Callithrix jacchus: one gene and its partners. The main gene of each other region encodes a partner of the protein of the gene in region 2 in a complex. Links are inferred from orthologs where the notes say so. Each region holds a gene or a part of one and is shown on either strand. Other genes may lie near its edges. The genes, in order: ARPC1B, ACTR3 and ARPC4.

Region 1 (4,588 bases), on a different chromosome or scaffold from region 2:
GCTCCGCCCCCCGGTTCAAGCGATTTTTGTAAGTCAGCCTCACAAGTAGCTGGCATTACAGCAGCGCACCATCATGCCTGGCCATTTTTCTTTCTTTCCTGTTTTTTTTGAGACAGAGTTTTGCTTCTGTTGCCCAGGCTGGAGTGCAGGGGCAAGATCTCAGCTCTACAACCTCTGCCTCCCGGGTTCAAGTGATTCTCCTGTCTCAGCCCCCATTATCTGGGACTACAGGCTGCCTCCACCACGCCCAGCTTTTTTTTTTTTTTTTTTTTTTTTTTTTGTGACAGAGTGTCATCTGGAATAAAGTTATTTCTGTGCTAGCAAAAAAAAAAAAAAAAAAAAAAAAAAAAGAAAGAAAAAAAAAATGAAAAGAAAAGAAAGAAAAAAAGAAAAAGAGGCAGAGTCTGGCTCTGTCACCAGGCTGGAGTGCAGTGGTGTGATCTTGGCTCACTGCAACCCCTGCCTCTCCATTTAAAGCGATTCTCCTGCCTCAGCCTTCTAGGTAGTTGGGACTACAGGTGCACACCACTGCGCCCAGGTAATTTTTGTATTTTTAGTAGAAACAGGGTTTCAACATGTTGGCCAGGATGGTCTCGATCTCCTGACCTCATGATATGCCTACCTCAGCCTCCCAAAGTGCAGGGATTGCAGATGTGAGCCACTGTGCCCAGCCTAATTTTTTTTTTTTTTTGGTAGAGACAGGGTTTCACCATTTGGCCAGGATGGTCTTGAACTCCTGACCTCGGGATCTGCCTGACTTGGCTTCCCAAAGTGCTGGGATTACAGGTGTGAGCCACCGAGGCCTAATTTTTGTATTTTTTAGTATAGATGAGGTTTCACCATATTGGCCAGGCTGGTCTGGAACTCCTGACCTCATGATCCACCCACCATGGCCTCCCAAAGTGCTGGGATTACACGAGTGAGCCACCGTGCCCTGCCAAGGGAAGGCTTTCATCCTAGTCTCTTCCATCTGCCTGGCCGCCTGGCTACGTCTCCAGTGAAGAGGCAGAGGGTCAGGATGGGAAGACTCCAGGAATCACCTGGCCCAAGACCAGCAATCAGGTGGCTGCAAGGCTAACTGGGTAACTTAAAGAAGTGAAGCCGACCGTGGTGGAACACAAGGGGAAAGGCCTGGCGCAGTGGCTCAAGCCTGTAATCACAGCACTTTGGAAAGCTGAAGTGGGTGGATCACGAGGTCAGGAGTTCGAGACTGGCCTGGCCAACATGGGAAACCCCCCCCCCCCATCTCTACTAAAAAACAAAAGCCGGGGGTGGTGGCGGATGCCTATAATCTCAGCTACTTAGGAGGCTGAGGCAGGAGAATCGCTTGAACCCAGGAGGCGGAGGTTGCAGCCAGCCAACATCGTGCCACTGCACTCCAGCCTGGTGACAGAGTGAGAATCCGTCTCAAAAAAAGGAAAGAAACAGAAGGGAAAGAAGTCAGCTGGCCGGCCAGCGTCAGCAGGGGCAGCCAGTGTCACCCGTGGCCGGGGGAGCACCCGGGTTTTGTGGTGAGGACACTAAGGGCCGAGGAGGCGGGGCCCGGCTGCTCTGGCCACGCCCTGTCCACCCAGGGACTGCCCAGTTGGCGCCCCGCGGGCGTCAGCGCGAAGGGGGCTCCTCGCAGTCTGGGGACTGGACCGCAGGGCTCGCCAGCTGCTCGGTCACCTGCGTGCATGGCCCGAGGTCCCAGCCGTCCGGGCTCAGAGGACGCGACTCCCATATCCCGCGCCCGGCACCGGCTCGGAGATCCCGCCCAGCGGCGGCTCAGGCAGCGCGTCTCGCTCCCAGCCTCAGTTTCCCCATTGATAAAGCGTTGACGGGTGGTTGTGGACAGCTTCTGCGGACAGAACCTTGGGTTTCGACACCCGCGCGGGTCCCCGCAGCCCCCAGGCCCCGAAAGGAGGGCGGAACCCTGGATCTCGCGACCGCTGCCCCTGGTTCCCGCCCCCGGGCCCTACGGGGCTGAGGTCGGGAGGCCCCGCCCCCCGCCCACGAGGAAGTGGCTGCGGCTGCCGCGCGGGGCCCAGAGTCGGTTCGGCGCGTCGACTGCCCAGAGTCCGCGGCCGGGGCGCGGGAGGTGAGGGCCGCGGGGGCGCACGGAGGAGGGGGCCGGGGCAGCGGTCCGGAGGTGGGGGGACGCGGGGATGTGTGGCGCCGCCTGGGAGTGAGGAGGACGGGAGGGGCGAGAGGGGGCGCGGGGGGCGCCTGGAAGTGAGGGGGACGTACGGATGTGGGGCGCAGCCCAGTAGGGGTGCGGGGGTGAGTGGGGGCGCACGGAGGGAGGGGGCCTCGCAGGGAGGAAACAGAGCCCTGGGAGCAGGGCGCGCAGGGGTGACCCCAGGGCTGGGCGGGGATAACGCGGGCTCCCCGCACGCTGGGCGCCCTCGGGGCGTCCCCAGCCCCCGGCCCCAGCCAGAGCGTCCGTTTCGTGCCTTCCGCTCCCGCCTCCCGGCCCGCATCCCCGGCCTTGCCCCGAGGTCGGTCGGTGTCGCCCCGTTACTTCGGGACGACAGGGCCCCACGCCCAGTCACTTCCCCTCCATCCCCGGAGCCTTCCGGGTTGCAGCCGCCGGGAAATGAGCTGGCGCCTCTGGGTGCCCCGCCCCTGCCCTCCCGGCCGCTCCTGTTTCCCCCACCCACCTCCGTCGGGCCAGGTCCGAGGGGGTCCCCTACGGGGCGGGCCTAGCCGGTGGGATCCCGAAACGCACCCCTCTGAGCTGCCGGGCTCCGCGGCCGAGGCGGATCCGAGCGGCCCCTCCCTTTCCGGAGGCACAGGGAGAGCAGACAGACCGCCCTGGGCCGGGCTGCACCCGGGGGCAGTGAAGGGATCAGGAGCCCAAGCCCTGGGGAATCAGACCTCCCCCTTCCTCCTCTGCCAGTGCAGCCCAGGGGTTGCCACCACCCATCTCACTGGGCGCGGTCGCTAACACCGGGAATATCATCATTTTGGGAGGCCCAGGTGGGAAGATCACTTGAGGCCAGGAGTTGGAGGGCAGCCTGGACAGCATTACGAGACCCTTCTCTATTAAAATAAATAAATAAAATGTAGCCGGTTGCGGTGGCTCACTCCAGTAATCCCAGTACTTTGAGAGGTGGAGGCAGACAGATCACTTGAGGTCAGGAGTTTGAGACCAGCCTGGCCAACATTGTGAAAACCCGTCTCTACTAAAAATACAAAAGTTAGCTAGGTATGTGGCCCCTGCCTGTGATCCCAGCTACTCGGGAGGCGGAGGTAGAAGAATCCCTTGAACCCAGGAGGTGGAAGCTGCCGTGAGCTGAGATTGTCCCACTGCACTCCAGCCTGGGCAACAGAGCGAGACTCTGTCTCTAAATAAATAAAAAAATATTACGGACCTAGGTAAGAGTGCCAGCTTCTCCCTTCACTGGCCAATGATTTTGGTAAGCCACGCAACCCCTGCCAGCCTCAACTTTCCTAATCTGGAAAATGGGAACCTTAAGGATTGTGAGTCTGAAAGGCAATACTACCAGACACTTGGCAGTGTGTCAGGCGCTGACAGTATGAACGTGGGCTTGCTGCCATTATAAGGCCTGCTCACCGTGATCATAGTGTCCTCCCAGGTGAATCCAACTTCCTGGCCTCCAAGATTTGGGGCCAGAGTCCCAAGCTGTGTCATTTACTAGGAGCTGGGTGGCTTTGAGCAAATCATTGCTTTTTTCTGAGCTTGGGTTTCCTCCTGTACAAACTGAAGGTAAAAAGCAAACAAAAAATGTCTCAGGCTTGCTTCAGAGGGTAAAAGAGAATCGTGAAAGTTCTGGGTAAAATCAAGGCACTGACAAATGCCAGCAAAGTTGATTTCTTACATATGTCTGTACATAATCCATTGAGAGGTCTTTTTCTTTTTTTCTGGAATCAGGGTCTCACTGTGTCGCCCAGGCTGCAGTACCATGGCTCGATGATAGCTCACTGCAGCCTCAAACTCCTGGGCTCAAGGCATCCTCCTGAGTAGCTGGGATTACAGGCATGTGCGTCCATGCCAAGCTAATTTTTAAATGTTTAGTAGAGATGGGGTTTTGCTATGTTGTCCAGGCTAGCCTCAAACTCCTAGCCTTAAGCAATCTTCCTGCCTCGGCCTCCTAAATTGCTGAGGTTACAGGCATGAGCCTTCACGTCTGATTTGATAAGTCTTTTTTTTTTTTTGAGACGGCTGGAGTGCAATGGCACGATCTCGCCTCACCGCAACCTCCACCTCCTGGGTTCAGGCAGTTCTCCTGCCTCAGCCTCCTGAGTAGCTGGGATTACAGGCACGCGTCACCATGCCCAGCTAATTTTTTTTGTATTTTTAGTAGGGACGGGGTTTCACCATGTTGACCCAGGATGGTCTCAATCTCTTGACCTCGTGATCCACCCGCCTCGGCCTCCCAAAGTGCTGGGATTACAGGCTTGAGCCACCACGCGGCCTGCTCTTTTCTTAGTAACAGAATGGATGTATGTGACCAAAGAATGCTTATTTTCAAGTTCCTGTTAATTCTGTTCTATTAATATTTATTTGTTCCCACCCACTTGTTGAATTGGGTGCCCTTCAGAGTAATTAATCCAATTAACAACAAATAGCAATTTCTCCACA
Region 2 (4,588 bases):
TTGGAAGAAGTCAAGCTTGTTCCTGCCTCAAGTCCTTGACACTTGCTGTTCCCTCTCCTGGAAGACTCTTCCCCCCAACTCAGGTTTTAAATACCAGCTGGCCAGACTCCTTCCCTGCCTTCCACCTTCCTTCCATTCTCCCACTCCTCGCCCTCATTTCTCAGAGTCCTCAGTTCTCTTCTTTCTATTGCACTTAACACAATTTGTCTGTTTCCCGCTAATCTGTAAACTCTACAAAAGACCTTAACTATTTTCCATCCCAGGGAATATTCAGAGTCAGCAGAGTCCCTGCCATAATAGAGTAGGTAAGCAATACTTACCTGTCAAATGAATAAATGAAACACCCAATTCCATTTCCCAGGCCAGCTTAATACCACACTACACGATTTTATGGACTGAATAATATATCCCTCCTTCTAAAAAATATTTTTATTTTAGCTTCACATTAGTAAACTCAGAATGGTTTATCATAAGAAAATCTTGGTGGAGAGGAATGATATTAACCTTCTAGGTTTCTAAAGTGGAACTAGGAACTTATTAGAAATGTGAATTTCTAATTGCTGGGGTGTGGCCCAGCAATCTGTTTTAACAAACCTTTGAGGTGATTCTGATACACACTAAAGTTTGAAAGGTTTCTTTAAGGCTTTCCAGTTTTCTTTTTTTTTTTTTTTTTGGAGTGATGGTTGTGGGGGGTCCTCCCTATGTTGCCCAGGCTGGTCTCGAACTCCTAGCCTTAAGCTCTCCTATTCTTCCACTTTGGCCTTCTAAAGGATTGAAATTACAGGCATGACCCACTGTGGCCGGCCTCCGTTTTTAACTTAAAACTTTTTTTGGGGGGGGGAGTGCCCTTAATCCTTTCTATTATACTGCTAGTAGACTCTTACTACTCCTGAGGGGAATCGTTGTCATAATCTAAAAGCCTTGAATAAAGACCTATTTGGATGGCGTATACTATGTAGAATACATTCCTGGGAGGTTTGCCTTCCTTAGGGACCCAGGTCAGCCCTGGGAGGTGGAGGTTGGGGAGCAGGGCTACATTCTAAAGTCCTGTAACAATGCACAAGTACAACTGAATAAAACCCGCAACAAAGGCCTAAGGACCACGGTGACAAGTCTTTGTTCATCCATTCCCCGACTGCTCACCCTGATACCGCTCTTTTCCACCCAGAAAAGCAGCCACTCAAGTTTTAAGAATGGATGCATGCCGCAGACGTTTTCGATTAGACCGCTTTCTCCCAGGACCTGTAGGATATTCGCGGCTGCAGGAGGCGCTTCCACTCTTTCCCCAATCTAGCAAAGAAGCAACTGAAACTAACCCAAGGGCTGCAACCGAAAAGCCCCTTCCAGCTTCAGAAGCAGAACTAGAAGCTCGGCTAGACTTCGCCTCTATCCTCCTGGAAAACTCGCAGTGGATTTCACTAACTTCGGGATCGGAGCCCGGGCAGGCGAACGTACCTTATTGCGCATGCTCGCTGGCCCCTCCCGCTCGGAGCGGAAGGGGGAGCTCTCCGGGCCTGAGCCTGGCCGGGCCCGGGCGTCGGCACCGGCGGCCATCTTGGCTTCCCGGGGAAAGGCGGCGTGAGGGGAAGAAGTTGTAGGGTGGGGGCAGGAGTGAGGAGGAGGGAAGAGAGAGGGGGAGGAGGCCGCGGCGGGGCAGGGCGGGGACTGCCTGCCTGCCCGGGTTGCGGAAGTGATAGCCGCTGACCGAGCCTGCTGCTTTCTTGCTACTGCTTCGGCTTCCCGGCTACCCCCCGGACGGTGAGGGCGGCCCGGCTGTGGATGGTCAGATAGCGCCTGTCTCCCGCCGCCAATCTCTGGCCCCTAACAGCACGGAGCAGACGGCGGCAGCAGCAGCAGCAGGCTAGGAGGAAGATGGCGGGACGGCTGCCGGCCTGTGTAGTGGACTGTGGCACGGGGTAAGGGGGCTGACGGGCGGGGGTGGGGAAACTGAGGCGGAGGAAGGAAAATGGCGGGGGAGGGAGGAGACCGGGAAATGAATGGTGCGGCAAGGTGCCGCCGCCGGCTGTCAGTCCTAGCCCCGGCGGCTAGCAAGGGGTGGGGCCCGGAGCCAGGGCCTCGCCGGTCCCCTAGTTTCTCCCTCCTAGGACTGGGGCGGGGGCGCAGGCCCGAGATTCAACCTCCAACCCTCCCAGCGGCTTCCTCCGCGCGACCCCCCCCGGCCCTTCCCCCACTGCGGTGGGCTGTGCCGCCCAAAGAGTGCTGGGGACGGTCGCTTTGGGGGTGGTCCCCGGGCCCAACCCATCCGGCTTTCCTTTCCTTCCGCGCCCCTTTTCCCCGTGGGTTTGGGGGCCCAGGGGCCGTGCTCGGGGACTGGCCTGGCAGAGGAGCTAGAAAAGAGAAGCGCTCCTGGTAGGTTTTGCAAGATCGCTGTGACAACACTCTGCCCAGGGTGTGGGTGGGGAAGGGGAAGAATCGGACTCTGAAAATGGGAACCTACAGCGGGGCTTTCATTTGACCACCCACCTTCTCTTTTCGACTCCCGGTCATTTCCATCTCCCTCTGCATTTTAACCGGTGAACCAAGTCACATTTTAATTCGAGAGAGAAAAATGTCATGTGTTACTTCTGTAGCCTCAAAAAAGTCCCCCAGTGAGCAAGCGCGCTGCAACTTCCTTAGTTTTGTCAAAGCCGCTTCCTGCTTTCAGTCTTTTATACCCTTATAAGGTAGTTTTTCGTTTCCAACCTGAACACAACTTATTAGTACTTTTAAAATTAAGCAGGTTTTAAAGAGACGGAATTAACGGTGCTTGGTATTCATTCATGTAACTTAAAAAAATGTACTTGTGTTTCATGGAGAGGGGAGAAAGGAAACACCCTGGAAAATAATTTAAGTTGCATACGTTCCTTCTCTGATGGTATCTTGAAGGAAGGAGGAAGGAAGGTATAGAGGTATATAGGAATGTGTTTAAGTTGCACATAGTTACTCTTAGATCTGTAGAGCTGTTTGCTAAAATATAGAATGGCTTTAAAGTGGTCATTCATTTTGTATTAATAGACATTTTAGAGAGTTGTACCACACTTTGTATAACTACATAGAGAATAGGCTACTTTTATTTTAATGTAGAATCACTGCTTCACGATGACATATAGGAAACTGTTTTCTTTTTTCTGTGATTACATCGCTCTAATTCCCAAACACTCCCAGTTTTATTTTTGAGGGGGAAGGCGTGAGAGGTGGACTGCAAGGCTTTTAAAAAAATTATTGTTAATCATAATTATTAATAATATTCATTATTGTTCCTTAAAAGATTGTATGTCTTTCACTCTTTATTCCATGTAAAATTTCTTTAATCTTCATTCTCATAACTAGCTAGTGTGGCAGTTTCTAAAATCACAGTCAGGTAGAGAAACAACCAACTTAATATTCTCCCCAGGAAAACACTAGCCTAGATGAGCTTTGGAACATCTATGTATTTTTTTGATGAACACTTGATTAGTTTCTTCTTAATCCAGTCTCATTTCTCTGAACCAATAATATTTTTTCTTTCTCCCTTCTTCGTTTAATTGGTGAGTAGTTTTATGTCTAGGTTCAGTTTTAAAATTAGATTTGACCTGAGTCAGTAGGACTTTTCCAATATGTTTTGTTGAAGTGACAATATGGCTACATAATTAATGTTTTAGAAATTACTGAGTTGTCAATAAAAATAGTGTAAATAATTGTGGCCCTAAGAAAGACTATGGTAACATCTCAAGTAGTATGTTACTTTTATTCTTTCCATTTTTTCCCTTTTGAAATAGTTTCAAATTAGTATACTAGATGTCTCATTGAGGTTAACTGTCCTTAAGTGACCTCCTTTCCTAAAGGGCAACCTTGAATTTAAAACATGCTGAATGACCAGTAGGATCAGGGAGAGGGGTTCAGTTTAATCTAGGATATGTCTGTTTTAAAATTTTGATTTTTACAGTAGTATATTTTTACATTATTACATTGGTTTCCCCGACAAGGAGAGGTTGCTAACTGCATTCATGATTTTAATGGAACTGATTAGGAGTCCCTTTGCCAGCTCACTCTCTTTTACAATTTGTCACTACCTGAAAATCTTCCTTTAGAGTTTCAGTTATTTTGGTCCTCAAAAGGCTTTTTGGTCTCTTAAGTTGCCAGTGGTTCTTCCAGGAAAGTTACACCTTCAACTTTATTAACACATGGATAAGTCCTTGAGGTTGGGCCCCTGAGATAAGCATCTCTAAGTATGGCCTTAATAGGGAATTTTTACATTTCAAAATTCTGTGGTCCCCGAATGCAAATTGTGCACCTATAATTTGTCTATTTCTTTATGCTTTAGAGAATGCATTCAGCTCTTAAGTCTCTAGATTACAATTGCCCACTTAGTTTAAGCAAAAAATTATAACCTGAATCAGGTCGTTCATTTTATTCATTATATAAATTAGGGAAAAGGTGGCTGATAAAAAAAATGGTCATCTGTAAAACTTGATTGTCTTAGATAAGAAGGCTGTTAAGAGTTAGGAGACTTGAAACTTAATCCCAAAACTGTTAGGGATTGTCCAGCAAAACTCAACATATGAATCTCGTAGATTCAGGTCATAAAAGAGAATACTTATTTTGAAAA
Region 3 (4,488 bases), on a different chromosome or scaffold from region 2:
TTACTAAAATCAGCTGTCCTTTGTAAAGCTCCTACTATGTGCCAGGCACGCTATTAGATACCTGACCCTTTTTTGATCTCTCTCAGTCCTTGCCAATGAAATAGGAATCAGAGTCATTTTACAGATGAGAAAATTGAGATTCCAACAGGGTAACTTGCCCAGGAAAGTAACAGAGGAGGCTGGATTTCAAAACCTTTTCGCTCTGACTTCAGAGCCTGTGCTCTTTCTGCTGAAGAACACACTCACTGGTCCCCATCTTGGAGCACTTCTGCTTGTGAGTCTTCTATTCCTTGGACTCCATGGTGTCATAGTGATTCCAGGACTTGCTGTGGGGTCACTCTGACTGTTGTGTCCCTCTATAGTACAGAGTACTCTGTGACATTGTGTTTTCAGGAGTAGCAAAGAACTCCTGTTACAACCTGTGACCATCAGCAGGAATGAGAAGGAAAAGGTTCTGATTGAGGGCTCCATCAACTCTGTCCGGGTCAGCATTGCTGTGAAACAGGTAAGGTCACCTTGTAAGAGACGTAACATAAGGACCTCACTTTCAATCCAGGGGTCCCCATCTGAGAGATCAGCGTGCCACATTCAGATGGAGGCTCACTCTTGTTGCCTAGGCTGGAGTGCAGTGGCAAGATCTTGGCTCACTGCAACTTCTGCCTCCCAGGTTCAAGCAATTCTCCTGCCTCAGCCTCCTGAGTAGCTGGGATTATAGGCGCCCACCAACATGTCCATCTAATTTTTGTATTTTTAGTAGAGATGGGGTTTCACCATGTTGGTCAGGATGGACTCAATCTCCTGACCGCAGGAGATCTGCCTGCCTCAGCCTCCCAAAGTGCTGGGATTACAGGCATGAATCACCATGCCCAGCCAGTAGTGGGCAACTCTAAATTGTCAACAGGATAAAAACAAAACAGCATTATTAAATGCAGACTACATACTGTGTTCTACAGAAAGTTCTAACCCTGGGGCCTGCTTTCTTTGTTAGAATGGGAGATTAACAAGTGTTGGGAGGTGTTAAGGCATACTAGCAACCAGCTGCAGAAGTCTTTCTTTACAAATGTTGAGCGTTCAGGGCCGGGTACGGTGGCACGTGCCTGTAATCCCAGCTACTTGGGAGGTTGAGGCACAAGAATCACTTGGACCTGGGAGGTGGAGGTTGCAGTGGGCTGAGATTGTGCCACTGCACTCCAGCCTGGGCAACAGAGGGAGACTCCATCTCAAAAAAAAAAAAAAAAGAAATGTTGAGAGTTCAGAAGGGAGAAACTTCAGAGATTGTTGGATGTTCAGTGTTATAAAGCAGAGACCACCTAAAGTTATCTCTGATAGCCCAGGTGGTGCTGCGACACACCCTGGGAAATGTAACACTAGTGAAGTGGGAATGAGAAGGGCAGCTTGGCGTATCGCTGTAGACTCGTAAAGAAGCCATAAAAGACTCTGTTTGCCAGAATTACCTCTCTGGAATGGGTCCTCATTAAGAGATGCCCCAAGATAGACCCTTGTTTCAGTTGGCAGCCAGGTCCCTCACTTCAGTGATCCTTCCGAGTACCAAACCTCACTGTCTCCTGGGAGCTTTGGAGAAATTGGAGTCAGAAGACCAGGCTACAGGGTATTTTTGGCTTGGGTGTCGGCTTTAGAGAAATGTTTCTCCCTTTTATTTCCCAGGCCGATGAGATTGAGAAGATTTTATGCCACAAATTCATGCGCTTCATGATGATGCGAGCAGAAAACTTCTTCATCCTTCGAAGAAAGCCTGTGGAGGTGAGACCTTGTGACCCATGAATTTGCAATACCCAGGATCCTGCTACAGAATGGCCTGGAATTGTTTCTAGAACCTGGATTGCTGCTCTTCCAGCTGTTTGGCACCACCGCCTGAACTGAGAGTTGGCCTTCATCTCAGCTGGAGTGGGAACCAAGAGGATCAGAAGCCTAGGAAAAGTTGGGTCTACCTCAGCCATACAAAAGGCAAAAAAGGACCAGGAGTGGTGGCTCATGCCTGTAATCCCAACACTTTGGGAGGCCGAGGAGGGTGGATCATGAGGTCAGGAGTTCAAGACCAGCCTGGCCAAGATGGTGCCATCCCATCTATACTAAAAATATAAAAATAAGCCCAGTGTGATGGCGGGCACCTGTAATTCCAGCTACTCGGGAGGCTGAGGCAGAGAATTGCTTCAACCCGGGAAGCAGAAGTTACAGTGAGCCGAGATTGTGCCACTGCACGCAGCCTGGGTGACAGAGTGAGACTCCATCTAAAAAAAGAAAAAGGAAAAGGCAAAAAATATAAGATACATTGCTTATTCCCAGAGCCTACAGTCTAGCAGCAGAAAGAGCACAGTGATTTTGTTGTTGTTATTGTCGTTGGAGTTTTGCTCTTGTTGCCCAGGCTGGAGTACAATGATGTGATCTCGACTCACTGAAACCTCTGCCTCCCAGGTTCAAACCATTTCTCCTGCCTCAGCCTCCTGAGTAGCTACCATGTGCTACCGTGCCTGGTTAATTTTGTAATTTTAGTAGAGATGGGGTTTCATCATGTTGGTCAGGCTGGTCTCGTGACCTCAGGTGATCCACCCATCTCGGCCTCCTAAAGTGAATCATAGTCTCTTAAAGCCACAGTTAACACTGGGTCAGTTGTTGCCTGACTTTGTACTTGACCCTCCTCCACAGACTCCTTACCAACTTAACTTAAAGCATCCCCACAACTACCACACAGCAGGATATGCCATCATCAGATACATCAGGCATGTTGGCCAAGTTCTTCCTCATCCTGAGCCAAATTTTTCTCTCCCGGTCCTAGATCTAACCTCTTTGGCCACCTGGAGTAAATAAAATTCCTCTTCCTCACATACGCCTCCAGCAGAAAAAATACCTTAATCCCACTCATCTTCCACATCATCTCTTTTCTGGACTAAATGTTCCCTGTTGTTTGATTAGATTCTTCTGTAACAAGACTTCAAGTGCCTTGACTCATTCTGAATGTAGAGTTGTTTGTGCCACAGATAGTCTTCCAGAGATGTCTGATACACACAGAATTCTCAACTGGATTGAGTTGCTTGGATCCAACCTACACGCCCTTCCCCAGAGCAGGTGGGCTGCTGACTGGAAGGGTGTGTAGCTTGGGAGAAGATCACAGCCAGTGAGAAACATGTGAATGAGTGGAGGACATGACCAGCTCACTTCCCCTGGGGTGCTAATTCTCTCCTGTTCCTTCCCTTCTTCCTCCCTGCTGTCTTCTTTCCTAGGGGTATGACATCAGCTTTCTGATCACCAACTTCCACACAGAGCAGATGTACAAACACAAGTTGGTGGACTTTGTGATCCACTTCATGGAGGAGATTGACAAGGAGATCAGTGAAATGAAGCTGTCAGTCAATGCCCGTGCCCGCATTGTGGCTGAGGAGTTCCTTAAGAATGTGAGTATAGGCTTTTCTGCTTTCCTTCCAGAGGCTGAAGGATCTGGAGTCATGTTGAGAACTTAGCACCTGGTGGGAAAGGGGTGCTAGCAGTGTGTTTATATCTTTGGAACCCCTAGAACACAGCAGGTTGCTCAGGTGCTTTGGAGCTAGAAGGCCCCAGGTTCATCTCTGAGCGCTACAGGCATTTTCTGTATTTTTGGGTGTCTAGGATGTCTCTTAGTCTCTTGTAGGAACTTGGACACTCATTTCTATATCTCAGGATGTTCATAAAGTCCTTACCTCTATCTAGTTCAAACCCTAAGTGAGGCAAGTGAAGTCTGCATGTGAATTTTCCCGGAATATAGGACAGTTAATCATGGTATAATTCCACTTCTCAAATAGACATCAGTACTTTCCTTAGCGTCTGTTTCTTAGGCTTAAAGTCATGATTCCTTCAACCTGTTTTCCATCACTTGCATGGCCTAAGTCCTCCAGATTCCTCTTATATTGTTTATGCCTTTCTAATCGAAAGGACTGTAGTCATATGAAGAGGTGGAATTATTTACATTGGTAACTGATGACATAGTTCTTAGTTGTTTAGATATTCAAGACATGCCTTCTTTTTTTTTCTACTTTTCTAAACAATCTTTGGTTTGTTGGCATGTTCTACCCAGAGTGGCTGTGATCTCTAGGCAGTAGACTTAGTGTGTACTCTCACCAGTGAGTGCACACCCAGTCCAGAAGGAGCTCAGATTGCTAAAAATGGAAATTATACCTGCTTCCCCTGGGATTTAATTATACTCAGGGTGGCCAGCATACAAAGTAGCTGTGCTGTGCACACAGATCAGCGTGGTTGTTGAGCTCAGTCAGCTGTGGAGGCCGACAACCTGTGTGTGAAACCAGGTTCCACCGCCTACTTAGGCATGTCACTGAATTCTCAACTAAGCCTCAGTTTCCTCAGCTGTGAAATGAGGATTTGGTAGTTAATACATGTCTTTCAGAGTGGTTGAGCATTAAATGAGACCATATGTGTAAAATGTAGCACCTGGTACATAGTAAGCTTTCCATGTATTGCAGTATCAAAATTTTATGTCCA

Evidence for each region.
Region 1: ACTR3 (region 2) and ARPC1B share a complex: the UniProt entries of both Homo sapiens proteins name them as parts of the arp2/3 complex. The link is inferred for Callithrix jacchus from reciprocal best matches to the Homo sapiens genes ACTR3 and ARPC1B.
Region 3: the proteins of ACTR3 (region 2) and ARPC4 are in contact, whole or in part, in a cryo-EM structure (PDB 6YW6), measured with the Homo sapiens proteins. The link is inferred for Callithrix jacchus from reciprocal best matches to the Homo sapiens genes ACTR3 and ARPC4. Residues at the interface, in NP_005712.1 of Homo sapiens: Lys53, Gly54, Val55, Leu58, Glu121, Glu124, Tyr125, Glu128, Glu132, Tyr400, Glu401, Pro405, Arg409; in NP_005709.1 of Homo sapiens: Lys89, Arg92, Phe93, Met96, Arg97, Glu99, Asn100, Arg156, Ile159.

Annotation. Positions count from the first base shown.
Region 1 is NC_133503.1:14,206,027-14,210,614, reverse strand, and holds the start of ARPC1B (actin-related protein 2/3 complex subunit 1B), read left to right. Parts: upstream 1-2,028; 5' UTR 2,029-2,080; intron 2,081-4,588. UniProt on the Homo sapiens protein: Component of the Arp2/3 complex, a multiprotein complex that mediates actin polymerization upon stimulation by nucleation-promoting factor (NPF).
Region 2 is NC_133507.1:98,527,185-98,531,772, forward strand, and holds the start of ACTR3 (actin-related protein 3), read left to right. Parts: upstream 1-1,662; 5' UTR 1,663-1,872; coding exon 1,873-1,916; intron 1,917-2,203; exon of another isoform or gene 2,204-2,370; intron 2,371-4,588. UniProt on the Homo sapiens protein: ATP-binding component of the Arp2/3 complex, a multiprotein complex that mediates actin polymerization upon stimulation by nucleation-promoting factor (NPF).
Region 3 is NC_133516.1:66,963,263-66,967,750, forward strand, and holds part of ARPC4 (actin-related protein 2/3 complex subunit 4), read left to right. Parts: intron 1-393; coding exon 394-505; intron 506-1,665; coding exon 1,666-1,761; intron 1,762-3,239; coding exon 3,240-3,410; intron 3,411-4,488. UniProt on the Homo sapiens protein: Actin-binding component of the Arp2/3 complex, a multiprotein complex that mediates actin polymerization upon stimulation by nucleation-promoting factor (NPF).